3 linked regions of the Nothobranchius furzeri genome follow. The protein of the gene in region 3 interacts with the protein of the main gene of each other region in a pairwise test. Links are inferred from orthologs where the notes say so. Each region holds a gene or a part of one and is shown on either strand. Other genes may lie near its edges. The genes, in order: get4, gpx7 and get3.

The links.
Region 1: the proteins of get3 (region 3) and get4 interact in binary tests that used the Homo sapiens proteins (3 or more experiments, as listed by UniProt). The link is inferred for Nothobranchius furzeri from reciprocal best matches to the Homo sapiens genes GET3 and GET4.
Region 2: the proteins of get3 (region 3) and gpx7 interact in binary tests that used the Homo sapiens proteins (3 or more experiments, as listed by UniProt). The two-hybrid records come from large-scale screens. The link is inferred for Nothobranchius furzeri from reciprocal best matches to the Homo sapiens genes GET3 and GPX7.

What each region holds. Positions count from the first base shown.
Region 1 is NC_091756.1:28,102,637-28,106,847, reverse strand, and holds the start of get4 (Golgi to ER traffic protein 4 homolog), read right to left. Parts: upstream 2,832-4,211; 5' UTR 2,800-2,831; coding exon 2,582-2,799; intron 2,570-2,581; exon of another isoform or gene 2,346-2,569; coding exon of another isoform or gene 2,320-2,345; intron 1,755-2,319; coding exon 1,676-1,754; intron 1,431-1,675; coding exon 1,349-1,430; intron 1-1,348. UniProt on the Homo sapiens protein: As part of a cytosolic protein quality control complex, the BAG6/BAT3 complex, maintains misfolded and hydrophobic patches-containing proteins in a soluble state and participates in their proper delivery to the endoplasmic reticulum or alternatively can promote their sorting to the proteasome where they undergo degradation.
Region 2 is NC_091748.1:78,670,896-78,675,333, reverse strand, and holds the start of gpx7 (glutathione peroxidase 7), read right to left. Parts: upstream 2,878-4,438; 5' UTR 2,810-2,877; coding exon 2,678-2,809; intron 1-2,677. UniProt on the Homo sapiens protein: It protects esophageal epithelia from hydrogen peroxide-induced oxidative stress. It suppresses acidic bile acid-induced reactive oxygen species (ROS) and protects against oxidative DNA damage and double-strand breaks.
Region 3 is NC_091746.1:25,384,690-25,388,336, reverse strand, and holds part of get3 (ATPase GET3), read left to right. Parts: intron 1-441; coding exon 442-589; intron 590-844; coding exon 845-993; intron 994-1,079; coding exon 1,080-1,230; intron 1,231-1,338; coding exon 1,339-1,446; intron 1,447-3,647.

The sequences.
Region 1 (4,211 bases), on a different chromosome or scaffold from region 3:
ACAAGATTAACGAGTCGATGGTCTGCAAGTGGAGAAAGTTGGAAGACCAGCTGCTGCAGGTCAGTCAGTCAGTCAGTCATGCCGTTACCAGAGTTTAAATCTTCATTCTTGCTGCTAAAAGCACCCGTGCATTAAACTGGGCCATTTATGTTACTTTAATAATGAGAAATTTATTTTTTAGTATAGATAATGAGTGGAGTAACGTTTGACTTTGATCTAATTGCCCAATTTGCCTTAATTGTGCCGACCGGGACGCTTGTTTGCTTTGCTGGGTGCGTGTTTTGATCCAGTGAGCCTAATGTGCGGACCAAACCTTTAACTAGGACGCTGATTGGCTGTGCGCCGTATAATCAGGTGAGCCTTATGGTGCGGAAAATACGGCAGTTACTTTTTAAATGAATGAATCAGTAAAGTAACTACGTTACTTTTGGAAGGAGTAATCAGTAGTCAGAAATCAGATTACTATTTCAAGGTAACTATGGAAACACTGCTGACAGAGGCGTCAGGCTGATGAGCACAGGTACCACCGGTCTCTCTGAATCCCACCAGCAGGCAAGGTGAGTTAAGTGTCTAGCCCAAGGACACAACAGCAGAATTCTCTGTCCAGAGCCAGGATCGAACCTGCAACTGTCTGATTACCAGACAAGTCGCTCTACCTCCTGAGCTGCTGCTGCCATATGAGGCTGTTCCTCTCCACTTGCAGGATTAAAGCCATAAAAAACACACTATTGCACTTCTGGAACAATGCAGGGAGTAAACAAACCATTAGGTAACTTCTTTTGATGTAATCTACATAGATATGAAATCGCATTGCTGCAGTAGTCTTATTTTGAGAATTACCAGGGGTTTTACATTGAAACCGTGTGCGACTTCCTGTCTAGCCCTATGCTAACTGTGTAAATTGTTGTGTCCCAGATGCGGCTTGCTGCAAAAATAGAACCCATCCTATCTTTAGTGGCATGGCCAGCTGCTTCTGGGACGCGCTTGAAAATTTCCGCATAGTGGCTGGTTTGAAACCCCCCCATAGATTTTAATGTCTTCTCATTTGAAGCAGCGACAGTCCGTGCCACTGATGCTTCCAGTGTGAAGTATGGGTGAGTTTTCAGAGGAGGCAGGTGTATGTTAATTGGATCACATAACGATACAAGACCAAGCTTGTCTTGGCAAAACAATTTAACCTTTTTGTTGTTGGTTTCATTATTTTAGTGATTTCTTAAATCGAAGTTCAAATAAAAATGTGATAAATTGTACAGCTCTATTGTCACATAATGAAAAGAAAGCAGATCAAAATCAACACAAAAGACTCAGTAAGAGTTATTTTTAGACACAATGAAAGCTCGAAACCCACCTAACATTTCATCCTCAACTTTAGTATCAGACTTCTCCAAAACCTCCAACACCAGCATGGAAAGATCTGCTGCGCTGTTTTGCTGTAAAGTAAACCACAATGAACTCATGTTTGGGGCAGCATTATTGTCACAGAACGTACTGTAATCGGTAAACTTAACCCAAGCCACAAGTCAGGCTGTACAGTTAAAGTTATGGTTAATTCAGCAGGCAAAGATCAAAACTGTAAACCTGACAGCTGTTGTGTACATGCTAATTTCTAATGAAATGCAATTTTAAACATGAAATCTGCGGATGTTCTAGTCAAAAACGTGGGTGTGGTCTGTACCTGGTTGTAGCTGAAGAACAGCAAAGCACCGTTGTACATCAGCTCCCTCGCCTCTGCATGTTTTCCTTGTGACATATACCTGATGGAAGGCAAAGGGGAACGGAGTCGTGCACTTAAAGACAATCTCCTAAATCTCCCTAAGGCCAAATGACCATATACATCTGATAAAGTAAACGATAGGATTGTGACAATCAAGAAACGGACGGAATTAACTGAAAGAACATACATTTGAGGGAAATTGGCTTTAAACTGGGAGCTTTCTCGACAGCTTAGTACGTTTTTCAAGAGGGAGTAAGCAGTTAAGTCAGACCACAAAACTAGTATTCTACCATAGTAGGGTGGGATATGACATAGTTTATGGAATATGATATAGAAGTGAAATGCATCAAATCAGTCTGGTATAGCTCAAAATAAAACAAACTGTTTAGAAACACGTCGTTATTTCGTATTTTACTGCGAGGAGATAGCAGAAGGCTGCTTCCCACCTAGCGAAATGCTAACGCAAATGAACATGAATGTACTCGTTCACATAACTGCATTGTAAACCAACGAAAACAGTTGGTCGCTATTTTCAGTTTGTTTTCAGTATACATTTCATGATTAATACAGCCAAAAATAAGTTATCGTTGTCACATTTTACTCACTCTGCTAACAAAAAATTTGCTATCATCAGCTCGGTACTAGCGGTATCATTACGGTAAGCCAATAGCAATTGTTCTTCTAAAGATAGAAAGGATCACTGTCCAATCAAACACAAGAACCATCAAGGGAAGGCGGGACACAGAGCGAATACAACCAATCACGTACAAGCACCAGTCAAAGGTTTGACAGCGGAATGATCTGGAACAGGCCGGCCTGACCGTAACTACAAAAGCACATTAGAACGAACATATTGTGAAGTCTCACCTGAAAAATAAAGTTCTATACATTTGGTGGGCTTCATAGTAATCTCCCTTTTCTACGCTTGCTCGAAGCTTCCCTTCGACCCTCTGAACGCCTCCTCGGTTTCTAGCACTGGAGCACCTCAGGGACTCGGGCTCCGCCATAGCGATGCCTTTAGCAGCAGCAGCGACTAGCGAGAAGGTCCTGGCTGCGGCTCGTAGCAAGGGGCGGGGACGGGGCATACGGAGCAACTATAACATCGATGACTCTGACGACTTAGCCTTGTTCTTGTAGAGAGGCACTAAACTGAGAGGCACTATATTAAAAAAAATGTTTGTTCTTCGTATTACTTTTTTTTTAAATTGGACTGACTCTTCACAAAACAGCACACCTGGATGAACTGGGTCAATCATCACTGCGCCGCCTACAGGTTGTGCAGAACAGCGCAGCCAGGTTACTGACTGGGACCAGGAAACGGGACCACATCAATCCGGTTTTGCCCTTCCTGCACTGGCTTCCGGTCTGTTATCGTTCACACTTTAAACTCCTCGTCTTTGTTTACAATTTCTTCCAGGGTAGTGCTCCCCCCTATCTGGCCACGCTCCTGAACAGACATTCCCCATCACGCACACTGCGCTCCTCTGACCAAGGCCTGCTCGCTGTCCCTCGTTCTAGGTGTCGTACTCGTGGGGACCGGGCTTTCTCAGTCATAGCCCCGTCACTCTGGAGCCAGTTGCCACCCTCAGTCAGGCTATCCCCATCTCTGCCAGCCTTTAAGAGTCGCCTAAAAACCCACCTCCTCCGCTTCGCGTTCCCTGAATATGTTTGAGTTAGGCCTTCATTTATGTTAATTTTAATTCCCTGCTTTCATTGGTCTCTTTATCTCTTGTTTTACCCATTTGTTTTCTACTTTAATGTTTTTACCTGTTTTTCTCATGTACCGTGTTCAGCACCTTGGGCTTCGCGACAGGGTCACGAAAGGCGCTTTATAAATAAAGCTTGGATTTGGTTTGATTGATACGAGATACGTTGCTTGATTTCCTCTCGGAAGAGGTTTCTTTTGTCCGAATGCAGCAGAAAGGCATCTTGGTGCATGTAGGTAGAGGAGGTATCCAGAACTAGGAGAAGGATTAGAAGACTGCTTTCCTGGTTGACACCAAGGTCAATGATCTCATTATCACCGGATTCAGCATCAAACTCAGATCATACGCCGTGAACGGGGAAGAGTCCCATGACCTGGATGTCAGCTCCATAAAGCAACAGATGGCTGATTTTTTTTACAGACCAAGGGAACTGAGTTGGACTTTGGGAATATTGAGAGTTGCCACACTCTGTCCAGAAGAAACAGCAGAGAAAAAACAGCTGTCATCATGAAGGTTTGACATAATTAACCATGATTAAACCAGCATGACATCAGGGGGAAATCACTTGACTGGTTTAAAAGTGAAGCATCCATCCATCCATTTTCAGCTGCTTATCCGGAGTCGGGTCGCGGGGGCAACAGCCTAAGCCGAGACGCCCAGACTTCCCTCTCCCCAGCTACTTGGACCAGCTCTTCCGGGGGAATCCCAAGACGTTCCCTGGTTAGCCGAGAAACGAGGGCCCAATCTCAATACTCACACTGCGCCCTGCGGTCTTCAGCAAAGTGCACTTG
Region 2 (4,438 bases), on a different chromosome or scaffold from region 3:
TGTCTTTTTTTAGTAACTTTGGTGGAGACAGAAAACGGGAAAAGAATTAAACAGAGGAGGAGTCTGGCAGGCAAGGATTAACATTCGTGTGAGATGGGACGCGACTGTGATGGAGCTGAGAGGATAAATGTGACGTGTGTGTACTACTCATTTAGTATTGATAATCCTGTATTCCACAATGGACGACGTGTATTTCTGTCCACTGTAGGCAGCCAGAGTCATACCCATCTACTTCTGGACCACGGGTTACCAACTGTCTAAACTATAAACGCGAGTCTCAGAGGAGAGAAAAGTTATTTTCTGATCCCGTGTGATATGCGCCATTTTATTTTTAAATCACATTTTGATGCCAAGAAAGCAATTCTTTTCAACAGGGGGCAACGGTTATTTTAGGTTTTAGGTTTCGGACTGCAAATGTTCATCTCACCAAATAGAGGCCATCAAATCGGACACGGAGAAGACAAGAAAACCGGTAGAAAGAGAAATGGCTGTGAGTTAAGCGAGCTTCGAATTCCTCCAGGAGTGTTAAACGTTACGAAAACCCCGATAAATCTAACCACGCGATAAGTAGCGGCTACACGGAGGCAATAGAGATTCTGTGGTCACGACTTCTGATTTGTAGTCGTTTTATTTACTCATTTTTACAAACTAAAACAATCTCATGACATAGTCGAAACACACAAAATGATTATTTATTTAAATTGAAGTACAACATATGTGGGATTCAGGGCATAAAGCAACGCGGACCAGAAAATAACTTTCATAGCCTCGTTATCATAGCCTGTGATCCGACTGTAGGGGGCAAACTTAGGCTTCTTATGTCAAATGCAAGATAGTAATAATACTGCTTACATGTAGGATTACGTGTGTGTACAACATGCATTTAGCATGAAGAGCTTCGCCAGCTGGTCCCGGTGACCCTGTCAGTGGCAAAAACTGGTAGTGGTTCAGACTTTATAATCAGTTCTGGTGTTAAGTGAAACACTGTTTATAACAATGTTATAAATCCATCCATCCATTCTCGGCCACTTATCCAGTGCCGGGTCGCGGGGGCAACAGCCTAAGCAGCGAGGACCAGACTTCCCTCTCCCCAGCCACTTGGGCCAGCTCCTCCGGGGGAATCCCAGGGCGTTCCCAGGCCATCCGAGAGACATAGTCCCTCCAGCGTGTCCTGGGTCTTCTTTTAGGTCTACTTCCAGTTGGACATACCCAGAAAACCTCACCAGGGTGGTATCTAGGAGGCACCCTGACCACATGCCCGAGCCACCTTCACTGGTTCCTCTTGACGTGAAGGAGCAGCGGGTCTACTCCAAGCCCCTCCCAGATAAACGAGATTCTCACCCTATCTCTAAGGGAGACCCCAGCCACCCTCTGGAGAAAACTCATTTTGGCTGCTTGTATCTGCAACCTTGTTCTTTTGGTCACTACCGAAAGCTCGTGTCCATAAGCGAGGGTAGGAACTTAGATCAACTGGTAAATGGAGAGCTTCGCCTTCCGTCACAAACAGCACTCTCTTCACCACGACAGATCGATACAACCTCCGCTGGACTCACTGTAGACGCAGCACCAATCCGCATACCCATCTCACTCGTGAACAAGACCCCGAGATAAACTCTTTCCCTTGAGGCAGGACCTCCTCCGTTCTCTACTTTCACCCTCTGTTCAATAACCCTGTGATTCACTGTTGCCATACCGCGGACGCGGACCCATGTGATCAGGTGACATACCAGGTAGGTGCAAACGGTCAATAAAAGCAGAACCTGTAAAGTCCTGCTGTAATATCAGCTCCAAAAAACAATTAAAACTTTAATTCATCAAGATCATTTTTCAAGTAAGCAAAAAAACAGTTGGAATTTTTTGCATTTCTATTGAGGTCGGACATACGAAGCTCCCAGTCCATGCTAACACCACCGCATGCTTTAGTTCGACAAACAAAGGGCAGCACAGTTACATTGTTTATTTATGGTCTTGAAATAAAGCCCTACGTGAGGGACACTGACTGAACGAATAACCAGGGTCTTTGGGATTTTCAGTAGCTGTTCGTTATACATTTGAAATATACAAGTTTCAGCTTTTGAATGGAATTACTGAAATAAATCAACTTTGTCACAGTATTCTGATTTTGTGGCCGGATGTTACTCTAAATATTTACACTGTTGACCAAATAAAATAGTGTATTTTAAGATATTGTGTCTAAATGTGGATAACTAATATTCAGCTTTACCTTTAGTATTTATTTTTATATCTGCTGGCAGAAAAATGGGATTTCGCTGTACACATGGTGCCTCATATGTTGATCAAGAAGTTTGTTTTTCTTCTCCTGACTTTTTGCGTTCAGATTGAAACCTGAATCTGAAACGTGATCCATCAGCGGTGCGAGTACCGGTCGCTACCTGGTAACGGAGCGCGTGCAGCAGCTGCAGGCCTGCTGCCACGTAGGCTGCGGCCGGGGCGCCGGGTCCCCCCAGGAGGCTCGCGTCACACACACACACACACACACACACACACACACACACACACACACACACACACACACACACACACACACACACACACGCACACGCACACGCACACGCACGCACACACACAGTTAGTTACATCTGCAGACAGCATGGTTAGTGGGAGATACGTTCTCATCATGCAACATCCAGGATGAGCGCTTCTGAGCCGGACTCACCGAACCTCGGTACTTCTCCAGAGACACGAGCTTGCCTCTGCTGTTCACCACTTTAAAACTATAAAAGTCTTTCTGTTTGCTTTCTGTGAGGCTGACGACTGTCAGCAACACCGAGAGGAGCGCGTGAAGCATCTTCCGCAGCAAAAAGCGCCAACTCAACAGGAGTCGCCCAGGAGGTCAAGTGGCGCAGCTGGAGCGGCACTTCCGGCTGCGGCCGGGGCTTACAAAGTAAAAGCTTTCAAAGGGGAACCGAGCGCACGGTTAAATAAAAGCATGCCATGATCATTGATTGTTACTTCTGCTTGTGTGTAGCATGACTTGGTGAGGATTATTTTGCACGTTCAGACTTTTGATGAATGAGTCAAATACTTCTGCCTTTTTATTCTTGTAGCTAGCACCTCTGGATCTGCCTGGTAGTAAATTCTGTGGTCCGAGCCTTTTCATCAATGCAGAGGATTGATAAGCTAACCGTTAGGGATGAGCCGGATACTTGTTTCAGACGAGTACCCGATACGGATAAAGCATTTTTGACGAATACGAGCATGAAACGAGTAAAACTCGTAAATATCTGTAATCGTGCTGAAGGAAAATCCTCATTGGGTAACTGACTGTCTTCACGCTCTGTGACTGGCCAGTCACATAGAGCGCCCGCCCCTTCCTACACACAAAACTCTGCAGCTGGGAGCTCAGTCTGGCCGGTCCACACACACACACACACACACACACACACACACACACTAATATATATATTTATATTTATTATGTGTGTATATATATATATATATATATATATATATATATATATATATATATACACACACATATACATGTATATAAATGCATATGTGTATACACACACACACACACATATATATATACATACATATATATATATACACACACATTTATATATGTATATGTATGTGTGTGTATATATACATATACATACATACATACATATGTATATACATATATATGTATATGTGTGTATACATTCAACTGTGACAACATATTAAGTTTTCAGGATGCACATGCATAAGTAACATGGTAATAGTACGAGTGTATCTTATAGCCGTCGCGTTGCTGATATTTGAAGCTGTTTCCTCATCATTATCAGCGAGTTTACAACAATGCGCGCTCCCGCGGCAGGGGATGCAATTCTCGGCAGGCTGGCTGTTCTCGGCTATATCACCAGCATGCACTGGGGTGGGCGTGTGTGTTTTTACCAGAGCAGGAGAAGCAGCAGGAAACAATGGAAAACAGGATCTGTGTTTTATTGCTTGCCGACCTGGAAAATAAACCTTGAAGAAAACGCAGCTTTCAAGTTTGGACATTGAGCGAACGAAACGTTGCCACAGCGCAGCAGTGGCTTTTAAAGCAGGAAAATATGAAGTGAGTTGACAAACAAAGGAGCCACCACTACAGGATGAGATGTGAAACGTCTTCAAGAAACCAGAAGTCCAGTGGCCTTCATTTGAACCCTTTTGGATTTCTGCAGCTGACAAAAACAACGTAAAGTTTCTGACTTGTTATGGTCATGCATCAAAAACTCCTCCTGCCTACGTCACGGACACTCCCACAATGCAGCGGGGCTGCTGTTTTGGCCAGGGCCGTGGGATCTAAGATAACATGTAAAGCGGAACTATGGAAGCAACCAAACATTAATCCTGAGTGCACAAGTAAGTCCTGAGTTCGGCTCTGCTGTAAACGTCGCGTGTCTTTGTTTTAATGAGTCGGTGTTATGTAGTATTTGGTTGTCAG
Region 3 (3,647 bases):
TCCTGTTTGAAAAATGCCACAAATGCTGTTGCCCAGCAGACCGAGAAGGCGCTTGCGCGCACACACGCGCTCACGGCATTGTGACATCATAATGTACCAGCTAACATCATAGGGTACCTCTTAGCCAATAGCGATGGCAGATTTGAATTCAAATACAGTGCAGTTTTAACCTGACGACAACACAACACTGACAGTTTTAGGCAGAAAATTAAAATTTTAACTAAAATGCACTAAAGCGCCAAATAATTTCCAAAGGAAACCCAGCCTGAGGACACGTTGCCCAGTATTGTGGGTTTACAACAGAAATTAGCTCATTGAAAGAAAATTACACAGAGAGCTGACGCAAACATTTTTGCAGTGCTGGAAAACCGTTGAGTACAAACTGGGTTGCTGACATAAGGAGTTTTTTTTTTGAGTGTTTAATTTTGATGTTTTCCATAGCTGTAGCTTAGCGGTGCAGCTGGCTGCTGTCAGGGAGAGCGTCCTGATCATCTCCACCGATCCCGCCCACAACATCTCCGATGCCTTTGACCAGAAGTTCTCTAAGGTGCCTACTAAAGTCAAAGGATATGACAACCTCTTTGCTATGGTAAGCAATGCAATGCCTAAAAATCCCTTAACATGTTTAAAAGAACAAAAATATTTTTACACACTCAAACAAGAAGAGCAAGGAGGCCAAATAAAGAGGTTTATTTATCTTGTGTCAGTGTTAAGAGATCTGTGAGTCTCCCAAGAACTGTTTGATAAAGCAGCGATAGAAATGCTGAATCGCTGGAGGGTGGGAACAAATCGTCAGACGGTTTGTGTGTTTTGCTCACCTGTTTCCTGTCGTGCCTTATTGCAGGAGATTGACCCGAGCCTGGGTGTCGCAGAGCTGCCTGATGAGTTCTTTGAGGAGGACAACATGCTCAGCATGGGCAAGAAGATGATGCAGGAGGCCATGAGTGCTTTCCCCGGTATCGATGAAGCCATGAGCTATGCAGAGGTCATGAGGTGAAAACACTCAGTCATATCGAGCAGTTTTTTCAAGTGTTTAGAATCAGTGTTGACGTGATTTCTTTATCCTGCCTGTGCATCAGGTTAGTAAAGGGAATGAACTTTTCTGTGGTGGTGTTCGACACGGCCCCCACCGGCCACACGCTGAGGCTGCTCAACTTCCCCACCATCGTGGAGCGAGGTCTGGGTCGCCTGATGAAGATAAAGAATCAGATCAGCCCCTTCATCTCTCAGGTGATGGGACCAGCAGTTTGAATAGCTGTGTTTAGATGATGTGTACAGCTGTGTTTAGATGATGTGTACAACGTTTAAACGGAGTTGTCTGTGTGTTGTGTTGTTTAGATGTGTAACATGCTCGGTCTGGGCGACATGAACGCAGACCAGCTGGCCTCCAAGCTCGAGGAAACCCTCCCGGTCATTCGCTCCGTCAGTGAGCAGTTCAAAGATCCTGTAAGAGTTTTAAAAAATCGTGTATTTAAAGCAACACTAAACAGTTTCCTGCTCCTCCACCCTACTGGTTGAAAGTGGTTTTGCAGCTGTCGTAAACAACCCTGCTGTAGCTAGCGCTAACAACGAGCTAACACTTGCATGAGCCAACTAATACTAAAATAAAACACAAAGTAACTATTGGGAAAAAAATATTATTACTTACAAATCCAATAGCAACAGAGCATCAGAAGCAGGGACCTGAAATGGCTCAACAGCTTAATAACAAAGGCTGGTTCTGTTCTGGGGACGACTGTGGAACCACTGGAGGAGATAATGCAAAGAAGGATTCTCCAGAGAATCAAGAAAATTATGGACAACCCTGAGCATTCCATGTTTATCTTTATGTATTTAGCAGACGCTTTTGTCCTAAGCGACTTACAAGTGATAATCGGCATGTTGCCCTTGAGGTTAACAACAGCAACAACAACAAACAATTTCCAGTCAGTCGTAGGTGGCAGTGAGGCAGCATGATGAATCATGGAGAAGAGTGAACAAAGAGTGGACAGTAGAGAGGGGGGTGCAGGGTGCAGGGAGGGTGCTAGTTTAGAAGATGCTCTCTGAAGAGCAGGGTCTTCAGGAGTTTCTTGAAAATTGAAAAGGAAGCCGCTGTTCTGGTAGTGCTTGGTAGGTCGTTCCACATTTGTGGAACGATGCATGAGAAGAGTCTGGATTGTCCTGAACGTGGTGTAGGCACTGCTAGCCGACGATCCTGTGATGACCGGAGGGCCGAGCCAAGACGTAAGCCTTTGCAAGAGGATTCAGGTAGATGGGAGCCGTACCATCTCGGACTTTGTATGCTAATGTTAGCAATTTGAATTTTATGCGTGCTGCTAGCGGTAGCCAGTGGAGCTCAATGAACAGAGGGGTGACGTTTGCTCTTTTTGGCTGATTGAAGACCACACTGAGTTCTGGACCATTTGAAGAGGTCTCGCAGTACAGCCTGGAAGACCAGTTAGAAGGGCATTGCAGTAATCGAGGCGGGAGATGACAGTAGATTGCACCAGGAGCTGGGTGGCATGTTGTGTTAGGTGTGGTCTGATCTTTCGTATGTTATACAGCTCAAAGCGGCATGAACGAGCAACAGAGGTAACATGATCTTTAAAGGTCAGGTGTTCATCGATCACAACACCCAGATTTCGAACTGCCTTTGAAGGAGCCAGATATAGGAAGTCATTTTGGATTGAGATATTGTGCTGTATGGATGGTTTTGCTGGGATGACAATTAATTCAGTTTTAGAGAGGTTGAGTTGGAGATGGTGGGATTTCATCCATTTTGATATGTCAGAGAGACAGTTTGATATTCGTGCAGGGACAGTGTGGTCTTCCGGTGGAAATGACAGATAGAGCTGGGTGTCGTCTGCATAGCAGTGGAAGGAGAAGCCATGTGATTGAATTATCTCACCCAGTGAGGTGGTGTATATGGCAAAGAGAAGAGGTCCTAGTACAGAGCCCTGGGGGACTCCCGTGGCAAGATGGTGCACGGTAGAGGATTGTCCAAGCCAAGATACACTGAATGATTGTCCTGTGATGTATGATTCAAACCAGGCGTGTGCTTTCTCTGTGATGCCCATGCTAGAGAGTGTGGACAAAAGGAAGCCATGGTTGACAGTGTCAAATGCAGCCGATAAGTCGAGCAGGATAAGCACTGAGGATTTGGCAGTCGCTCTAGCTTCTTTTAAGGATTCCGTCACTGCTAACAGAGCAGTTTCAGTGGAGTGGCCCTTTTTGAACCCAGATTGGTAAGGGTCAAGCAGACAGTTTTGAGAGAGGTATTCTGTGATCTGATTGAAAGCCACCCTTTCAATGATTTTGGACAGAATTAGGGAGGAAAAGAGGGTTGGTCGGTAGTTCTCCACATGATTTGGAGGAAGAGATGTTTTGTTTTTTTAGCAGCGGTTTAACCTGAGCATGCTTGAGAGAGGTGGGAAATGTACCGGATGTCAGTGATGCGTTGATCACATGTGTGACTAATGCGGCTACTGTAGGAGCAATAGCTTGGAGCAGCTTAGTCGGAATGGGGTCGAGTGGGCATGCAGTAGGACGGCTGCACAAGACTGTCCGACAACGGAAGAGTGTCTTCAGTCAGAGGCTTCTTCAGTTTGGCTGCAACACTGACCGCTACTGGAGCTCCTTCCTGCCAACAGCCATTGTAATATACAATA